Danio rerio: one gene and its partners. The main gene of each other region encodes a partner of the protein of the gene in region 3 in a complex. Links are inferred from orthologs where the notes say so. Each region holds a gene or a part of one and is shown on either strand. Other genes may lie near its edges.

Region 1 (5,525 bases), on a different chromosome or scaffold from region 3:
GTCCTCAAAGCCCTGTATTACAAGAAAAGAAAATGTAGAGAAGCAAAATATTCATTTAACTGAGAACTTTTTGAATAATATGTAAAGGGACACATAATATATCGGCAGCCATATGGTTATCGGCCGATAAATGCTATTTTTAAGATTATCGTTATCGATCCGATGTCTAAATTAGGCCGATAAATTACGTTTAGTTCAACTCACAGCGGTTTATCATAAACTTTTCATGATCATTTTTCCCGCAATTGACAGCAAGAACGAACACAGAAGCATTGTCTGATTGACAAGCACTACAGCTATACGTGTTCAAAAGAATCTAAAACGCTAAATAGGATGAATCTATGCCGCATTTTCTAAAGTAATACAACCTGTACTCAACTTTTTGCTTGTACGGTAACTCTGAACTGTCAAAACACCCTTAGAAAAGTTTTTTTTTTTTTCGAACATTACATATTTGTACATATGTACATCAATGTAACACGTTTTATTCAAGAACAATTGAGCTGGTTTCAGTTGTTAGCTCTTTCATTTTCATCTTATTTAAATATATTTAACTTGCTTGTTGATTAAATCCTGTTTTGTTATTTAACCTATTATTTTTATGCAACAGTGAAGTTGCATGTTAATTTGCTATGAAGAAAAGGAAATAATTAATTTTCTTGCATGCTGATTTATGTGAAATCGTGAATATAGGTCTATATAACCACCTTGCAATTTTGAAATTATAGCTTTTTTGGTTTGAGTAGACTTTTCAGTTCATAAGAGCAGTTCAATCTTTTATTAAGTTTAAAAATATAACATTTTTAAACATTTATAATTATCGACCTATATATATCGACTATCAGCCTCCAAGTCTGAAGAGTTATTAGTTATCGATATACACTAAAAAACCCATATCGGTGCACCCCTAATTATATACCACTGACAGTGGCATTTTAACTTTAAGATATTAATATAATTTTATTCTTTTTGACACATAATATACTGATGACATATTTTCTGCAGATGCACTATGTATATGAAGCTTTTAAAGTATGTATCACAATAATACCATGTGTTATTGAGTTTAGTACATGTATACTAGGAGTTTTATAGAAACGAACATCAAATGCGAAACATCAAATTGACAAAACCTTTACACTGGTAACATCATGTTGTGACCAGATGTACCTTGTTGACATAGCATATTCAAAGCATGAACATTAGGGGTGCAAGATATTGAAAAATAAATCAAACATTGACATATTTTGTTTTTCTGTGATAAATAATGCAAAATGAATATAGGTCCATCAGATGCCTTAACTCTATTTGGGAAGTGTTTATTAATTCAGACTGATTGCAATAAAGGATTGAATCATGCATAAAAAAATAACAAAAAATTACAAGTATTGTTACTTTATGAATTTGTCAAACAGCAAACAGGTACAGGAATTGCAAAAAAATCAAATGTAAATAAAACACTGCATCTTCTTTATTGTAAAAATTATTTTAAAAATGTATCTTTATTAAAGGTACAAATGGTCTAATTTCTTGTGCCTGTGTAACAGGGTTAAAATAATGTTTAATTGTCTTTCACCAAAATGGGTTATTTTGTTTATTTTGTGGCTGTTGAGAGACCTCTTGTGGCAACAGTGTGTAATTGTTTCTTTCACCTTTCACCTGCAAAACCCCGCCTACAGCAGAAAATGGTTGCAGAATGCAGAAAGGCGGTAGGTAAAATGTGCTCCAGCTAAATGTGACAAATTTTGTATTTTAACACATATTAATAACACATACAAGCCCAATATGAACATTAAGTGATGTTTTAGATCAAATCTGTCGAGTGATTGCCGTGTGTGACAAACTTTGTGTGGTTTAATTTGCTCATGCTAGGTGTAGCTGGAATGATGACATTAATATGTGCAAGGGTGATTTCTTACTATTTGTTTGGTTTTTTTAGATGCATGTTTAAATGCATACTGTTGCCAGATGATGTATATTTCTGTTACAGGTATGTTAACCTTTTGTAAATAAATAATGTTTTGTTAAAATGACTTTGTGGCAACACAGCAGAAAATGGTTGCTGAATGCAGAAAGGCGATGCATGTTTAAATGCATACTGTTGCCAGAGGATGTATATTTCTGTTACAGAATAAACAACGCAGAACGCAGTTCTCTGTGTCCGCCTGAGTGATTTGCGTCTTCAGGAAGAGAAGCGTTACACCTGGATGCTTTATACGTTCTTGAAATGTTCATACAGCGGCAGTCCATAAAACACAGGCAGACTTCCACTTTATATACATATATAAACTGTCTTCTGGTCAACTATAAACCCAACAAGACATTGCATATCCTCTGAGTTTTCTGAATATGCACTGTGATAATGCCCATGTTTTCTAGAGGTTTACCATAATAAAATAATACATTTAAACCATAGCGATATCATCTTTTATAATCTACACACCATATCAATACCATATTTTCTGAACATCATGATAGCACTGCGCACATTCTATAAGCAATTGTGACACTACTGTATATTTTTGAGGCATATGCCATGACAGAACCAAGCTTTCAGTACATGCACAGTAATTTAGTACTACTTTATGACATATGCATATAGTGACACCATGGTATACTACATGGTGATACAACATTTCATACCTTTCTCTTTTTCAGTTTGTAGTCATTGAGCTCTTCTTTATCGGTGATCTTCTGTTTGGGTGGCGGTGGCAGCAGCTCGAGCTCTCTCTCTTTGGCCTCTCTGAGCAGCTGCTCGGCGGTGATCTGCACCTCTGCAGGGGCTTTATTCTTCACCTGAACACAAACACAAAACCATTACAAAACAAGACAATCTTTAACCCATCTGGTTATAGTTCTATACATTATACAGTTGTTATTTTCAGAGTGGCACAAGTTCACGTTGTTTACAAGCTAATGCTAACTCACAGCTTTATTCTTCACATGAGCATTAATACAAAACCATTACAAAGCAAGACAACCTTTAACTCAACTGATTACATGTATACACATTATACATCAGTTAACTAATTATAAAGTAACGTTAGCAGAACTACATGTTGTTTACATGCTAATGCTAACTTACAGGGGTTTATTCTTCACCTGAACACAAACACAAATACATTATAAAAAAATAAGCTTAACTCCACTAACCACATTTATATACAGTAGTTAATTATTAAGTAACGTCAGCACGACTTCACGTTGTTTACATGCTAATGCTAACTCACAAAAACATCATATAGGTTTTACCTTCGCCACTTTCGGGATTCTCTGTTTGCCCGCCGCGGTGGACGCCATGATTATTACGCTCCTGACACTTTATTAAAAATAAATTAGACGTATGTTCTTGTGTTTTAGATTTCGAAAGCCCGCTAAAACCTGTAAGGTTAGCGACGTTTCAGTGCCGTGTGTGTCGCGCCTGCCGTGACGCGCTGTGACCTTTGCCTGCATCTACGTCACGGAGCATCTCACCATGGTGACAGGACGCTTGCTAGCGGTTAACGTTATCAATAAATAAAAGGTCAGCAGTTTGAGGCTGTTAAAACTCAGTTTTTTATTGTTATACACCAAAAATACCTGTTTAATTGTTTTATGTTGCTTGTGTATCGACTTTTTGTCAATGTAAGTGAATGCTTGTTGTTTTAAAATATTTTTGCCTATTATTGGCTAGTGACTGAGTTCAAAACTCAACATTTTACATTAATAACGTTAACTTACCTCAATTAAATACCTTAAACGTTTGTTATTTATTTGTTTACTGTTAGATCTGTTTATTGTTAAACCGAATTTTCTTCAATGTGTGTGAATGTTTATTTGTTTTTATAAAGGTTAGTGACGAGGCTCAAAGTAAAGTTACATGTAACGTTATGTTATTTAACTTTATTCGCTCACTGTTAGATTTTTTTATAGTCCGACCTATCTTTAATGTAAGTGAATGTCCATTTTTATTAATTTGTTAATTATGTATTGCTTGTTATTGTGTATGAAATAACCGTAAAGAGTTGTTATTTATTTGTTTACCAAAATAAGTCTGTGCGTGCACACAGACGAAAAACATATAACGTACAATTGAAGTCAGAATTATTAGCCCCCTTTGATTTTTTTTCTTTTTTAAATATTTCCCAAATGATGTTTAACAGAGCAAGGAAATTTTCACATTATGTCTGATAATATTTTGTCTTCTGGAAAAAGTCTTATTTGTTTTATTTTGGCTAGAATAAAAGCAGTTTTTATAAAATAAATAAAAAAATAAAATAAAATTTAAGGTCAATATTATTAGCCCCATGAAGCTATATTTTTGTCTACAGATCATTACACAATAACTTGCCTAATTACCCTGACCTGCCTAGTTAACCTAATTAACCTAATTAAGTCTTTAAATGTCACTTTAAGCTGTATAGTAGTATCTTGAAAATTATCTAATAAAATATTATTTACCTGTCATCATGATTAATTAAATAAATCAGTTATTAGAAATGAGTTAGCAAAAACTATTATGTTTAGAAATGTGTTGAAAAGAAATCTGCTCTCCGTTAAACAGAAATTAGGGAAAAAATAAACAAGGGGGCTAATAATTCAACTGACTTCAACTGTATATTACGTCTACAGTTGTGCTCGAATGTTTACATACCACTTATATAATCTGTTAAATGTGAATAATTTTAACAAAAGTAGCAACATAATACAAAATACATGGTAATTTGTAATAAGTATTGTACCATACACTCCTCAAAAATCTTTATTTTATATTCATGTTTTTAATAGGAAGCTGCAGTATTATATTTGTGCAAATACATTAGTCAGTACTGAAGCCAAATCTGGAGCTTATCAAACAAAACAACTTACAATAACGGCCCAAAAACTAGAAAAGCCAAAAAATTTTATAGGAAAATATTAAATACAATTTTTTTTTTCAAAAGAGGAAAAATCAAGAGAAGCAAAAACAAAAAAGGAAAATTTTGTTGAAATTTTATAGGTTGTAATTTACTTTAGCTAAATTTAGCTTGATTTTATTGTATTATCTTTCTATTTCTAAATATGTTTAGTGACTAAAATATCATATTAATAAATATATCTGTTTAATAAATCTGTTTTGTTTAAATGCACCAAAATGCATTGCCTATATTCAATAAGAAATCAAAAATATTAATAAAATAAATAAAAATAAATATTAGTTTTAAATATAAATTTTTATTTAATAAGTAATAAAATATATTGATAAAATAAAATAAATATTAATTTAAAATATATAATTATTTAAATATTTTAATAAATATAAATTTTAAACTATAATTATAAAAATATAAATTTTCTAAATGGGGTGTTCTCAATTATGCTGAGCACTGAACTTGCATGTTTCCTGGAACACAAATAAAGTGCAATTTACCTTGAATTTACTTTGATTCGCTGCTGGAAAGAGCTCAAATCTGCAGAGGAGGCTGTAGAATCTAGGGGACATGGAGGGGTTTTTTTTTTTTGAAGAACAGCAGTCAGTTGAACTGCTCAGAACAAACAAGAGACTC
Region 2 (5,374 bases), on a different chromosome or scaffold from region 3:
TTGATAAATCAGAGCCCTGGCGATTTGACCTGCTACTTTTGTCCTCATTTAAATGAGTTCTGTATATTAATATACGTATAATTTAGGAATATGGTATATTAACCCTTTAACTGCTCCACCAAGAAAAAAATACTATGGATAGCATTTCTTAACTCATAATGTCACTAGTCAACACATCCAATGAATTTTTTTTCAACATGCGACAAAATATCAACCATTTGGTAGAGGTTGATGTGTCCGTTTATGGAAAAATTACCGGAATTAATACATATCCAATGAAAAATCTGAAAATATGAAGTGTAAGACATATTTATTTAAAAAAAATATTCAAAATAAATTGTTTTTGAATACTATATCATCTTTATTTTTTGAAGTATGCCAAAAAATATTTCAGATTCTCATTTAACATGTTTTCTTATATATATATATATATATATATATATATATATATATATATATATATATGTATGTATGCATGTATGTATGTATGTATGTATGTATGTATGTATGTATATATATATGTATATATATATATATATATATATATATATATATATATATATATAGATATGTATGTATATATGTGTGTGTGTGTGTGTGTATATATATATCAATAAAACCAAAATTGAGTGTAGTAACAAAACAGGATTACATTTGTTTGATTATTTTATAAACCAACAATGCTGTGTCGTGTAAACCATTATTAAAACAGTCATTCTTAAAATGACTTTAAAAGTCATTATTTAAAAGTCAAAAGCTGGTCAACGATTTGAGCAGGCAATTAAGGGTTAATGTAATAGGGTTAATGAAACTGCACTTAAATGGCACAAATGCTCCAACTAGCAACGGTTTGGCAGTTTGAATATGATTACAGGTTATACAATCACCTCATCAGCATCCCGGTCCTCTGCATCTAGCTCTTCATCCTCATCAGAGTCCAGCTCTGGTCCGATATAATTTCCAAACTCGTCATAAAGATCAGTCTCCATGGCGACGAGCTCTGATAGGACAAAACAGATACAAATGACATAACTTACTTTGGTGCAGAGGAACTATTCGGAATGCAGATCAACTCATTTAAAATGCAGCAGTGGTTCATTATTCTGTCTGTTTTATTTTCTAGTGTTGGGAAAAACGTTACTGTAACACTTTTAGTATTACTGCACAAAATGCTGATTGAGGTAAAATTGGTTTAAATTCTTAGCGTTTCTGTAAAATTTGCTTAAATGCCTAACAAAATGCATACCCAAAGTAAATTGCATGCTATTTTTAACCATTTTTAGTATTGGTCTTTGTCAGGTGACAAATTCGATTGTAAAATTATTGATTGTTAAAATATTTAAAAATCACAAATGTTACAACTAACTTTAGCTGACTAACTCACCCCTTGTAAAAAAAGTTTATTTGTGGGTGTCTTTCTAAAAACAAATAAAGGTTTTTGTTTAAAACATTGCAGGATTTTTCTATATTTAGAGTATTTATTTGATGTTAAATGTTTTAAAACCCCGGATTTGGCATGGGCTGGTATAAGATTCTGATACTATGATAATCTTGGATATAAATATCACGGTTTTAGGTATTGCGATTACTGCTCTGAAATATATTCCTTTTAAATGTCTGGGTAAAAAAATAAAAACGTTTTCCCCTTTGTACACAATATATTTTATTTGGGAAACATTCATAATATTTTGGAGCAGTAAACATGTCAGGCTAAATAATTCAAATGAATTATTGACTTCTGCTTCCTTCATTTGTTTCAAAAATACAGATTTGTAAAAAATTTAAAACGCAATCTTTGAATATCTTTTCTGCTGTCCTAAAAAAAAACTAAGAAAAAAGTAAATTAAAAAATCTTACTCATACCCTAGGAACAATATAGCAGAAAATTGACGGTTTTAAAACCTTGACTTTTCTAAACCGCGGTATAGCTTAAAAAATGGTTATCGTCTCATGCCTACTCCAGACTGCAGCTTAATGAAACCGTATTTTTAAAAATCTGTTTTTTTTATTTTATACGAAAAAGGGATAAATACATTAGAAGTCAATTTTATTCTATGAGGTAACTATGCATTGTTTTGGTCTCTTTTGAAAGGTGACACACTAAGGTTTATTCCCTAATAGTCCGAATCACTGTAAATGTTTTTGAATAATTAAACTTAATTAAACTCTGCTTAAAACTTTTATCTTAATATTCGAACATTCAGACTTTTTTCTTAATAATATAATTTCAGTAAAGTATTCTTTACAAATTCTAAATAAGAAATTCATATTAGCTACCGATGACTATCAAAGTACAACATTGCTCACAGTCAAAGTCTTCACAGTTTTGAATTCATACTTGGAAGCAATTTCAGACTGAATATTAAAAGTAACATTGAGGTAAAGTTGGTTTTCTATTCACACATTCTCATTGATAATATCATCTCAGAAAAGTATTCTTTGCAAATTATAAACGGGGTAATCATATTAGCAGCCAGTGACTATGAAAGTACAACATTGTTCAGTCAATCAAACAGTGCTAATGTTGTTTTGAAGTCATACTTGTATGTGATTTCAAACCAAATATTGAAAGTAGCCTTGTAAACAATATAAGAAACATGTCACAAGTTGTCACTGAATGAATGTGCTAATATAACCAAGTTTACCTTAATTTGCATCCAACCAATGTGCTAGTTAGTTTTGCGTTTTGGATAGAAACTGGTAACGTTAAATTAATACCTTCTCTATATTGTACTTTGAATATTCAGCCTGAAATAGAAAGTAAGTTTAACTTCAAAACAGCGTTAGCACAATTTAATTCTATTAACTCTGTGAACAATGTTGTACTTTGAAAGTCTATGGCTGCTAATATGAGTTCACTACTTGCAGAGAATCATATCTTTTTAAATTATAGCTATTATTAAAGGGAAAGTCCGAATATAAAACCAACTTTACCTCAATGTAAACACCAAAGGGAACGTGACACAAGTTGTCAATGAGCAAAAACTTTACCTCAATAAAATGCTGTAGTGTCGAACATGTATCTTTAAGAGCCCAATAAACACAGCAAACATTAAAGTGAATAAAATTACCTCATAACATACTGAAAATCGCAATAAATATAAAAGATTCCCTTGTGAAACTGCCTCAAGTAAAGCCGATATTGCAACTGATCGCGCAGCAAACGTACGACAGCGAATGAATGAATAATTGCTTCGTGTAAATAATTATTTCCGTCGTAAATATAGTGCGTATTATAACAGTGTTATACCTGTGTGCGAGTCTTGTTTTTAATCCCGGTGTGATTTTATTGTTACAAAATGATCCCTCGTACTGTTTCAAACCATGCACCGCGAGGTCCTCGCACAGCTCAACGTAGGTCGTACGTTGGTGACGTCATCAGCGTTCGCCAAGCATATTGCCTGTTTGAAAAAAAAAAAACAGGCTACTAATACATGTCGCAGTCAGCCAAGATTTACTAAAAAAAATGTTTTTTTAAGTTTTCATATATTTAAAAATCAATTTTAAAATTTTGACCACTATTTTTTAATGTTGGAGTAAAAACAAAAACGTAAATAAACATTGAGTGACTCCATAGATATCTTATTATATATATATACACACACATATGGAGTGTATTATATATGTATGGAATATATATCTATGAAGTGGCTCAAATAGATATTGGCTTCAAACACTTAAGGGTAATCTTAAGTATGATTTACAGCTTTAATTATTATACAAAAAACTTTTTTTGTTTTTCAGTACAAAAAGTATCTAGATCTGAATTTATCTTGACAAACTATAGCTACATACATAGGCTACTACCATGTATCATTTTCAAGTATGTACTCAAAAAGTAGGGTGACTGACAGACTTATAAGACTTAAAATTTGCAAATGTAGCCTACTAATAGACAACCAAACTCTGTTATAGCTAATATAAGCTCTCTGAATAAAAAAATCTAAATCAAAACAAAACCAGTTAAACATTTTTAATTCTAGTTTTTTTTATAGCTAGACAATTTCTTCCAACAATAAGGTGCATATCTGTAGGCTGAAAATGGTCATAAAATGAAGTGAACACTATTAAAAACAAAACATTGTTTGACAAGGAATGGATGGGAAAAGAGATTTGTCAGTATCCCAATTAATTGACAGCAATAAAGGTATTACTTCATATGAAAATGTTTGTACTAAATATAATTTCTAATTCAGTAAAGTTTAAATCTTTAAAGCCATTTCTATCTCATTTGTCTGTCTAATTAAGGAAATACTTTCTTACTCTACCCTTATAACCCCAACTGTGCCTCCTGTGTTAATTGAAGTCTGTGATTTCAAAGAAAGAAATCTATGTAACAACATTTTATATCCATTTTATAGGATATAAAATGTTGTTACCAATCATTGGTTTTTACATAGATTTCTTTCTTTGAAATCACAGACTTCAGTTAACACACGAGGCACAGTTGGGGTTACAAGAGTAGAGTAAGAAAGTATTTCCTTATTTAGACATAATTAAGGAAAAAATAATAATTATAAAAAAAACTCAACTTCACATAAATTATCTAAAAAGATACCATTCACGTACTTAAAATTAAATATTTAAATATTTAAAGTTTCCTCTGTCTCCAATAACTAAAAAAGTTCATTTTAAAGTTTTAAGTGGGATGAATCTGTCAAGTAAATATTTAGGAATTAGATTTGGATTTGAGTCTAATAAATGTGTGTTTTGTGATGATATTGAAACAACAGATCATTTGTTTTTTCACTGTATGTTTGTGGATGCATTATGGATGCTTCAGATTCCACACCTCAGGATCTTTAAGGGATTTTATATATGAAAGAATCTCATTATAAAAAGCACAAAACATTAGTTTCACCTTCAAATATTTTGATTTATGTATGAAAAATTTTCCAGGCATAAGGATGTTGTTGATTAGGAAGGCGTCTTCCTTACTGTCCATTACAAGTCCGTAAATGACAATTGATATCGATTACATTAAGATAATGTTACATGTGATTGTTTTATTTTTGTTTCTATATTGCAGTTTTTTTTCTCTGTTTCCTGATTTCTTTTGTTTGCAGATTGGTGCCACCTGATTCCAATCTGCGTAGCTAATTTCTATTACAATAAGCTGAGCTATATTGACTGGCTGCAGCCACCAAGAAGGCAAAGAGGGGAGATAACATGTCTCACTTGAGCTGCGCCAGTCCCAGATACAAGGTGCTTGTGACTCGTGTGCCACTTTTTAAATTTGTTTTATTTTTATTATTTTTTTATATATAGTTGAAGTCAGAATTATTAGCCTCCCTGAATTATTCGCCCCTCTGTTTATTTTTCCCCAATTTCTGTTTAACAGAGAGATTTTTTTTCAACACATTTCTAAACATAA
Region 3 (4,929 bases):
GGGCCACATGTCCAAAATGTTAATATAGTGGGCCACATGTGCAAAAAGTTATTATAGTGGACCACAAGTCCAAAATGTTAATATAGTGGGCCACATGTCCAAAATGTTAATATAGTGGGCCACATGTCCAAAATGTTAATATAGTGGGCCACATGTGCAAAACTTGATTATAGTGGGTCACATGTCCAAAAAGTTATTATAGTGGACCACATGTGCAAAAAGTGATTATAGTGGGCCACAGTTCCAAAAAGTGATTATAGTGGGCCACAGTTCCAAAAAGTAATTATAGTGGGCCACATGTCCAAAAAGTTATTATAGTGGGCCACATGTCCAAAAAGTAATTATAGTGGGCCACATGTCCAAAAAGTAATTATAGTGGACCACATGTGCAAAAAGTTATTATAGTGGGTCACATGTCCAAAAAGTTATTATAGTGGGCCACATGTCCAAAAAGTAATTATAGTGGGCCACATGTCCAAAAAGTAATTATAGTGGACCACATGTGCAAAAAGTTATTATAGTGGGTCACATGTCCAAAAAGTTATTATAGTGGACCACATGTGCAAAAAGTGATTATAGTGGGCCACATATCCAAAAAGTTATTATAGTGGGCCACATGTCCAAAAAGTTATTATAGTGGGCCACATGTCCAAAAAGTAATTATAGTGGATCACATGTGCAAAAAGTTATTATAGTGGGTCACATGTCCAAAAAGTTATTATAGTGGACCACATGTGCAAAAAGTTATTATAGTGGACCACATGTGCAAAAAGTTATTATAGTGGGCCACATGTCCAAAAAGTGATTATAGTGGGCCACATGTCCAAAAAGTGATTATAGTGGGCCACATATCAAAAAAGGCGTTACAGTGCACCATGTGTCCAAAAAGTTATTATAGTGGGCAAGATTTCCAAAAAGTTATTGGTGTTAACTTTTAAGTTCAAATTTAGGTAGATTGAACACAAAACAAATTGTCCCAGACATTTGTCATTTTAGCTAATTTTAAATAAGTAAACAAATCAATTTAATTACAGTGAAGATGCTTAAAGCAGTTTGTTTCATTTGTATATTTTTATTCTACTGTAATTTAATAATTGTAACTAGTTATACAATAATTCATTCCTTTTCTTTTCGGCTTAGTCCCTTTATTAATCCGGGGTCGCCACAGCGGAATGAACCGTCAACTTATCCAGCACGTTTTTTACGCAGCGGATGCCCTTCCAGCCGCAACCCATCTCTGGGAAAGTTATTCAATAATAATCATTTTAAATAATCAAGATTTTAATCACGACCAAAATATTCATGCTTATGATTTCCCACCATTCTGACCAGTGAATCCAGCTCGTGTAATAAAATCTAACTAATTTAACAAATAGCATTGACAATGGAGAAAACACAAAGTCGTCAAAATATGATTTCCCTCAAAATCGAAAAACCTTAATCTGTAAAAAAAAAATAAAGAAATAAAGTAATTATTTAACGAGTGTGGATCGTGACCTTTTAAATGAAAGCAGTTTCTGACCTTAAACGCCTCGAAGATCCTCTTGAAGAAGATGAAGTTGGGGTCATAGATGGCCGGCTCCTCTGTCACGTACTCGATCTCCACCTCCGGCTCCTTCTCATCTTTCTTCTTCTCCTCGTCCTGCTGCTCCTTCTCCTGCTCACGCTGCTTCTTCTTCTTCTTCTTCTTCCTGTTCCTGCGCTTACGGTTTTTCTGCAAGTACACAAGAACAAATTCAGCACAAGTGATCAGGAGAGCAACCTGGATGGATGACGGAGAGTAAAGCTCACGTCTTTTTTAGACAGACTGTTTTCGTCATCTTCATCTGAATATCCGTGAATATTAGTCAGCTCCGCGAGATCATCATCATCATCATCCTCTGAAATAACAGGAGACAAAAGACAGAAACTTAATCATGAGACAGTTTGATTATTTACAGAGTTTATACAGCCTACATATGAGCACTTCTCTAAGTCCAGACCCAGAGAGAATTCAACCCATCTCCATTTCATATTTCAAATATAAATATTGACTTTTGGATAAAATAATTGTCAAAACTAGGGCTGTCAAAATTAGTGCGTTAACGCACGTGATTGGTTTAACGCGTTAAAAAAATTAACGCAGTTGCAGTTTTTTAATTTCTTTTTGTGGCCGACGTGCGTTTAACGTGCTAAGAAATTTGGATAAGACCAAGGAAGCACTTTTAGAAGGAAAGTTTCAGTATAAAACATTTAATTTGGCATCACCAGGCTATCATGCGCTTCCTCCAGAGTTTCATGTAATTTCAGGCGTTTCATTTTTAATCTTTAGACTTTAAGTGCAGTTCAGCAGTTCACTCTCATTCAGCATATTTTCACTCAGGATGTACTTTTCAAACAGATTGTACTTTAAGTGTGTGTGCTCTACTTGATTGTTGATCCGTTTCACAGGTCTGGAGTCAGCTCTAATCAGTCTAGTGCAGTGGTTCTCAAACTGTGGTACGTGTACCACTAGTGGTACGTGGGCTGCCTTCTAGTGGTACGCAGAGTAATCCAATAGTCATTTGTACATGCAACATATATTTCAAAATGATCAAAAATGGTTCATATATAAACATGATGACATATAGCCTATATTTATGAGGTCCAAGCAGCATTTCCAGGCTTTGATGAATAGGATATTATAGGTTTACACTTTCCATTTAAGTACAGGAGTTTTTTTTTTCACTTTTTACGAACTTTTAAAAGCTAATTTTAATTTAAACGTTGCCATGTTATTTTGTTTGTTTGTTTTTTTACATATCAGCACAGCAGTGTTAACGTTCAAACTATTTACAAGGTTTAAATAATAAATATTATTAATTATAGTAATTCATCTGCCACGTTTTTAAACTGTGCAGAGTTGTAGCTGCTTAATTAGGCCTACTACACTACTGTATTTCAATACTGGTCATATGGTGGTACTTGGAGGGACAATTTTTTTCTGAGGTGGTACTTGATGAAAAAAGATTGAGAACCACTGGTCTAGTGGATGTCTGACGTTTACGCTTAATGCCACATGAAAATTTTCCAAGTCTATCTGTGTTTTAACCAATCAGGTTAGAGCACCTATATGTGTGACGCAGTTAATTGCCTTATTTGAGAATATAATTGTTATTGATTGGTGATTTTAAGCAGAGCGGCCTAGGAACTCATTGGAGTGTTGAAGCTGGCTTCTGCTGATGAAACTGCAAACTATCTTCAGTAAACTTGATTTATTTATTTAAATCTCTGACTCCGGCTCTTCTTCATCTGACAGACTGCTCATTCTTTGGGTTTAAGCTGTCTACCATCCCTACAGCACACAAATGAATATGTTGGGGAAAATAAACAAGTGGTGCTCGCTGCAGAGCCATTTGATGAGAGCTGAGCTCCAGCGAGGGGGAGCTTAAGCTTGAGCTCCACCTTTTTTGCACTTCTTCTACGAGTGATGTCACTGGGGGTAGGGTTAGGGGTAGGGTTGGTGTACGCATTAAAACAGCTTACAGGAGGAGGAGCGACAGCTCATGCTCCCCCTCGCTGGAGCTCAGCTCTCCTCAAATGGCTCTGCAGCGAGCACCCTCTCAAAATAAATGAAACATTTAACATTTCGTAACAGTTTGTAATTGTTCTTGTAATAATAACTTTCATTTGAATTTACATGTAGTATCTTCATTATATTATTTTAATGGACTGAACTGTTAAATGAAACATTCGGTCACACTTTACATTAAGGTTTCATCAGTGAATGTATTTACTAACATGAACAAAATATGAATGATACGTGTACAGCATTTATTAACCACAGTTCAACATCTACTAATGCATTATTAACATCCACATTCGTGCTCGTTCACATTAATATTACATAGTGGGTTAACATGAATGAACAATGAACACTAACACATGTATTGTTCGTTGTTTGTTCATGTTAGTAAAAGCATTACCTGACACAACCTTATTGTAAAGTGTTACCAATGCATCCAAAAGTGCATATATATTTACTGAGAAATGGGGGGGGGGGGGTTACTCATTTATGCTGAGCACTGTATAAGTTCACATTCAACTATCTGGGATTATTCTTACACTCGTTTTTTTTATTTAATGATGCTACAAACTGAAGAGCCTTTACATTCACTTTGACTTCATGAATGCACACACAGATTGCAAATGCGAGTCTCAACGGCACATTCATTGTCTCTCCTGTGGGTAATTAAGCTTGAAGTGCACTCAAGTGCTCTCATCTTGTAAACATGGTTATTATCAATACTAAAGGAGACCTATTTATGCCACTTCTTTACAAAATAAGTCTCTAATGTCCCTAGTGTTTATGTGAAGATTCCGAGCATTATATTGTGCCGTTTTGGTGACTGTCGCTTTAAATTCAAATGAGATTGTGCTCTTTTTCTGAAGAGGGCGGAGCTACAAATGCCCATGTGTCAGCATAGTGGTAGATTCAAAAACAGGACTAAAGTCCTATGCTGATGAGAAAGAGATGGTGACTAATGGGCGGGGCTTTCCTCCACTGATAACACGTACAAAGGGAGAAAGGTCTTTATCAAGTGTGATTATAAACAAACGGAATTAATTATTTTTGACCATTATAAGCTGGTTATATTCAAACATTTCTGCCACACAACTGTGTTTAACCCCTTATAAAAGTGATTTTTGTATAATAGGTGCCATTTAAGGCTAATAAATGTTACATAAGCCCTGTGCAGTTACTCATAGTTACCTGTAGGGGCGACGCTGAGCTGCTCCTGCCTCATTTCCTTCAGCTGCAGGATTTTCTCCAGAGCCTGAGGAATCTTGGGTCCAATGCCGACATCTTCCCCCTGCCACGACTGAACACATGAAACATCAACACACAAACATTTTGAAGATGCGCAGTGATTGGCTTTCAGGTTTTCAGTTTCTCGTACCTCTCTGCCG
Region 4 (5,491 bases), on a different chromosome or scaffold from region 3:
CCATTTGATATTTTCTTCTAAAATGAGTGATAAAATAGTGACGAATAAGTTATTTTCATTGACTTTGAAGTTAAATATATGAACATAAACATAGGAAGCTGAGATAAATGCTCATTTTAGGAGAACGTTTCAGATGGCACTTAGAGGTTTTTGCATCTGAACTCTTCTGCATCTGAATAAAATACAATTCAGGTTGAAAAAGACCACATCACTAAAAAGACACTAGAAAAGCGTTTCACCTTGATTCCGTTAAAGTTATCGACAGCCAGAATAGTGCTCCTCTGATCTTCATAGCACAGGAAACAGAATCCTTTGGATTTGCCAGTCTTTTTATCTCGAACCAAGTTGATGTTGGCAATCTCTCCATACCTGACATTCACAGAGGAGGATTAAGCTTTACTAGCAAAGAAAATAAATACTGACGTCTTTAGCACAAAAAGACATGTTTAAAATGAACACTCTGGCTTACTGAGAGAAAACACAGATGATGTCTCCTTCTGTCAGCTCATATGGAAATCCACCTGCAGATTGATATTAATATACATATTTACATTACTTAAAATAAATACACACACACACACGCACGCACACGCACGCACACATATATATATATATACATATTTATATAAATATATATATACACAAACACACACACACACACACACACACACACACACACACACACACACATACATACATACATACATACATACATACATACATACAAGTCAAAATTTTTAGACATCCTGAATTAATAGCTGTACATTTTCCCCCCCAATTTCTGTTTAATGGAAAGATTTTTCAACACATTTCGAAACATAGTTTTAATAACTCATTTCTAATAACTGATTTCTTTTATCTTTGTCATGACGGCAGTACATAATATTTTACTAGATATTTTTCAGGATACTAGCATTCACCTTAAAGAGCAAATTAAAGACTTAACTAGGGTAATTAGATCAACTAGGCCAGTTAGGGTTTTAAGGCAAATCATTGTATAAAAAAGATTTGTTCTGTAGACCATCGAAAAAAAATATTGCTTAAGGGGGCTAATAATATTGCCCCTTAAATGGTTTTAAAAAATAATTTAAAACTGCTTTTATTCTAGAAAAGATTAAAGACATCAAAGTTTCTCCAGAAGAAAATAGTCAGAAATACTGTGAAAAGTGTATTTCTCTGTTAAACATCATTTGGAAAATGTTTGAAAAAGAAAAAAACACACATTCACAGGAGGGCGAATAATTCTGACTTCATGGTTTGAATTGCAATGTTCTGTCTAGTAAATGAATGCAACATAAAAAATACAACAATAAATGTAAATCACTTTGAAATTGTACAAGGTCAGATCACTGTGTACCAGTGTGGGTTTCTGGAGGACTAAAATCATGCCATTGTCTACAAAAACACACATTTAGTTAAACAGATGAATGCTGCCACCATCTGGCAGAATGTAAATATAGTCCATCCAGACAGCATCTTAGCTTCCATAACAGGCATGCCCAAAACTCAGTCCTGGAGGGCCGGTGTCCTGCAGAGTTTAGCTCCAACTTGCTTCAACACACTTGCCTAAAAGTTTCTAGTATGCTATTTAAAGCTTGATTAGCTTGTTCAGTCAAGTTTAACTAGGGTTGGAGCTTAATTCTCCAGGACTCCGGCCCTCCAGGACCGAGTTTGGGCACCACTGGTCTATAATAATGATTGCCGAAGTGCTGTGACAGATTGATCTATCTTTTGGTCCACAGCCATAATGTAACTATGTAATAATGTTCATCATTTCCTCACCGATGAAGACCCAGGCGCTGTTTTTATAGACTGAATGCCAGGACACAGTCTCTTTGATGCCCAGCTGAGCTTCTCTTTCATTCAGTTCATTGATCAGCTTCACTTTGGTCAGTGGACTACATTTAATGAAGAAAAAAAAAAAACAGAAAAAAAGACAGATAATGAATATATGTTTGCTTGTTCATTCATTTTGTGGGCCACAATATGTCATTTTGTTTATTATTCTGTTATGGTGACTAAACCAAAATATGAGAAAATGCAGTATATTCAGGATTAGGGCTGCACAATATATTGCTTTAACATCGATATCGCAATGTACAAATATGCAATAGTCACACTGCAGCATCCGCAGTGTTGAGTTGTGATTACAATGACCAGGAATTACATTTCAGAACATAATTTTTGGAGTCATCGCAAATTTGAATCCTAACAGAGTGAAAGATTTTCATTTGGATGCGTTTTAAGGAACTGTGACAAGTGAAAGTAAACCAAGAAATTTTAGTTTTATAGTTTAGAGATTTAACAAAGAATAAAATTGTTTCTAGTTACTACAATTAATACAATATAATGTTATTTGATTAATGTTAGTTTAATATTCTTAGACTCCACAGAAAACCATAAAACACAAAACAAACAAACACATTCTACTGCATTTATCTATGCTTACAAATTGTTTATAATGTTTCATGCAAATATTTGAATTGTTTACACAGAGTTATTTAGGTAATCTTTTGTGAAATCATATTTATATCGCAATGTATATTGCAGAAAACTAAAAACCGCAATGTCATTTTTTTTACCCAATGTCGTGAACCCCTATTCAAGATTCATTATGACTTTGACACTTTTTACAGCCTAAAATCTTTAAAAATTAAAGATGTCAACACAATAAACATTGATGTATATGGTTTTGTTATGCAAGTCAATAGTTTTGTCCCACTGATAACATTTCTTCTATATTCAACATACAATGTAAACTGATAATTGGTCACAAAAGATTATCGTTTTCGTAAAGGAATCATACATGTTTATATTCATTTTTAGACAACACAATACCAATGTTTTAAATAACGACGAGTTAAGAAATCTGAATTTAGTAGACAAAAATTGACTTTATATCACAACAAAGTAAAATGATTATTATTCTGACCAGTTGTAAGCTTATGAAAAAAGATATACTTTAATGAGTTGATAAAACTAAAAATGATTTCTCAATAACAAGTAAATAACAATTGAACAACGTTCCACGACAAAACATTTCTATTATAAAAAATATTTTAATTATATTATTATTCCAGTAAAACACATGTAACTGAATGTTAATGTTTAATGTAACAGTTTTCGTTTATATTTATGCTAGCTTTAGCTGTTGCTGCAAACCAGAGGCTTCTGGCTGTATCGACATTTCATTCCATGACTGAATAGTCTAATTAAATTCTCAAACGTACAAGAAACACGGTATAACAAATGTATTGAAAATATTTTAATCAAACGCAAACATTTAACTCATCACTTACTTCATTTTGGTGAATCGAAGTCACTCCGGAAATAGTTTCTTTTTCGCAGTCCACACGTGGTGCCATTGTCTTCCGGTTTAGACAAAAGGATTGTGGGATGTGTATTTGACTGACTGTCCATACGGCGTTTTTGTAGTAAAACCATGCTAATTGCAAAGTAGCTAAATTATTTCGCTAAATCATTAAAACAGTGGTAAATAATAAAAAAAATGAACAAAAAACAAATAAACAAACAAACAAACGAACGAATCATGCTTACAACACTGCTAAAAATTAATAGTTTCTGTCAGTTTGATTGAATTATAGCCTACATTTTCCTCAGTTTAGAGGCTTAAATGGTTGAATTAGCAAAAATTTCAGCAATATTTACTGCATTTTTGTTATTTTGTACCTTAAACAGGCTCTAAAGGAAACAAAGAGAAAACTAGATGTGATGATTAACTTAATGTCTTCATAAAAATAGGCTATAGCATCATATTTGACAGAAATGATTTATCAAAATAAACAATTCTTTGTTGAAAAGCTTTATTAGAAATATCATGGAAAATTCTAACATTTATCAAACCAATCAACCAAGATGTTTAATCAATAGGGTTTTTCAGCCAAAGATAAACATCCGGTGAAAGCTTAATGTGACTATTTTCAGTTTCATAAGGTTCCTTTCACAGCATCGATGTTGTAATGTAATAACACTTTCAGTTAAATAGACTTAAGCATTCATTCAGTTGTTCAAGAGTAACAAGATAAAAGACCGTGTACAGATAGCGCCGTCAAGATCAGCAGGCTGCAGAAACTTCATACCAGAAAATACTGGGGTAAACATGTTGGGGGAAATGTCATTTAAATCAGTGATTCTTGTCCGGTCTGAAACCCACATATCGAATATCTAACACGCAGTAAAGATCACTAATTTTCAAAGAAATCAGACCTTAAATGTGGCAATTTTATAACAGAAAGACACTGAAAGCCCTGGGGCTGCCTTACTAAAATTAAAAGTCAGTGTACATATACCCCATCAGCACAGCAGGCCTCTGATTTAATTTAATTGCACACAACAATTTAACTTACAGAGCTTTCATCATAAAATTAGCCCCAAAATGTTATCTTACTAATAAAGACAGATTATTTTGAGGTATAATGACATGTGACTCTTATGTAAGCAATATACTATTGTGAAATATTGATTTCCCTTTGTGGCCATATAAAATAACACAAATGTTCCAAACTAGGATTTACACTGCATAATTTATTTTCTAGGATTTTTTTTTTGGCATGTTTCTAGTCCAAATATCAAAAAATTACTCTTATATCAAGAAGCATTTTCTAGGTAAGCAAAACATATTGTCTTGTTTTGAGAAATAATATGCCAATATTAAGTGATTTTTTCCTTAAAACAAGCTAAATAATCTGCCGATGGGGTGAGCAAAATAATCTTGTTTCTCCTTTTGACATAAGATTTTTTTTTACCCCATTGGCAGACTATTTTGCTTGGGACTTGTTCTTTTTATAGAAGTTAGGGTTAATTACAAGTAAAGTTTGACAAAAAATTGGGTTTCTCTTGTTGATGTACATTAAGCTTTTTTCATGCTAAGCATTTTAGAATGTCCCCTCATCGATAATTGTAAAATCTTAAAGGCAACAGTGATATGCAAAATGTCTGTCTTCTTTCCTGTCTTTTAATAACTGCTAGTTCAAGAATAAGCAAAATAATGTTACCTTGTTGTTGTTGTTTATGAAAAAAACTTGATTGCCAACCTTTCTCTGTTTGAGTTTAACAAAAGTTAATCCCATAATTTGCTCAGGAGTCATGGGGTGTAGAAAACAGGCTGATCGAGTAGTTTCTTTTTGAAGTAAGTAGTTTCTTTTTTCAAGTAATTGTTTAGCATTAATCTCCTAGGACTTAGTGGCCACATACGTGGACAGTACATTTTAGCCCTTAAGTGGCTATTTAAAATACTTTGAATGTTTTATATTTTGTCACAGACAGTGTCATCCTGCAACTGTTTTGCAGCATATGAAATGTCCCAAACACTATTTTTAACTGTCCAAAATGGGGAAAAAATGTATATGTTATATATGCATTAAAAACATTCAGGAAAAAGTGTTTTTTGTAAATTCAGACCACGAGTCCACATATATGGACATCATTTTTATCTAAAAGTACACCATATCAAAAGATAATAATTATGTTC

Evidence for each region. Proteins that work in one complex are often made in the same cells at the same time.
Region 1: sf3b2 (region 3) and crnkl1 share a complex: the UniProt entries of both Homo sapiens proteins name them as parts of the minor spliceosome. The link is inferred for Danio rerio from reciprocal best matches to the Homo sapiens genes SF3B2 and CRNKL1.
Region 2: sf3b2 (region 3) and eftud2 share a complex: the UniProt entries of both Homo sapiens proteins name them as parts of the minor spliceosome. The link is inferred for Danio rerio from reciprocal best matches to the Homo sapiens genes SF3B2 and EFTUD2.
Region 4: sf3b2 (region 3) and rbmx2 share a complex: the UniProt entries of both Homo sapiens proteins name them as parts of the minor spliceosome. The link is inferred for Danio rerio from reciprocal best matches to the Homo sapiens genes SF3B2 and RBMX2.

What each region holds. Positions count from the first base shown.
Region 1 is NC_133195.1:52,274,201-52,279,725, reverse strand, and holds the start of crnkl1 (crooked neck-like protein 1), read right to left. Parts: upstream 3,352-5,525; 5' UTR 3,301-3,351; coding exon 3,253-3,300; exon of another isoform or gene 2,797-3,252; coding exon 2,644-2,796; exon of another isoform or gene 1,940-2,643; intron 1,710-1,939; exon of another isoform or gene 1,678-1,709; intron 13-1,677; coding exon 1-12. UniProt on the Homo sapiens protein: Involved in pre-mRNA splicing process. As a component of the minor spliceosome, involved in the splicing of U12-type introns in pre-mRNAs.
Region 2 is NC_133178.1:15,083,470-15,088,843, forward strand, and holds the start of eftud2 (116 kDa U5 small nuclear ribonucleoprotein component), read right to left. Parts: upstream 3,352-5,374; 5' UTR 3,072-3,351; intron 3,044-3,071; exon of another isoform or gene 2,992-3,043; intron 1,001-2,991; 5' UTR 990-1,000; coding exon 888-989; intron 1-887. UniProt on the Homo sapiens protein: Required for pre-mRNA splicing as component of the spliceosome, including pre-catalytic, catalytic and post-catalytic spliceosomal complexes. Component of the U5 snRNP and the U4/U6-U5 tri-snRNP complex, a building block of the spliceosome.
Region 3 is NC_133182.1:6,516,284-6,521,212, reverse strand, and holds part of sf3b2 (splicing factor 3B subunit 2), read right to left. Parts: coding exon 4,920-4,929; intron 4,842-4,919; coding exon 4,733-4,841; intron 1,881-4,732; coding exon 1,792-1,880; intron 1,715-1,791; coding exon 1,523-1,714; intron 1-1,522. UniProt on the Homo sapiens protein: Component of the 17S U2 SnRNP complex of the spliceosome, a large ribonucleoprotein complex that removes introns from transcribed pre-mRNAs.
Region 4 is NC_133196.1:41,942,081-41,947,571, reverse strand, and holds the start of rbmx2 (RNA-binding motif protein, X-linked 2), read right to left. Parts: upstream 3,352-5,491; 5' UTR 3,305-3,351; coding exon 3,300-3,304; intron 1,899-3,299; coding exon 1,783-1,898; intron 522-1,782; coding exon 470-521; intron 370-469; coding exon 240-369; intron 1-239. UniProt on the Homo sapiens protein: Involved in pre-mRNA splicing as component of the activated spliceosome. As a component of the minor spliceosome, involved in the splicing of U12-type introns in pre-mRNAs.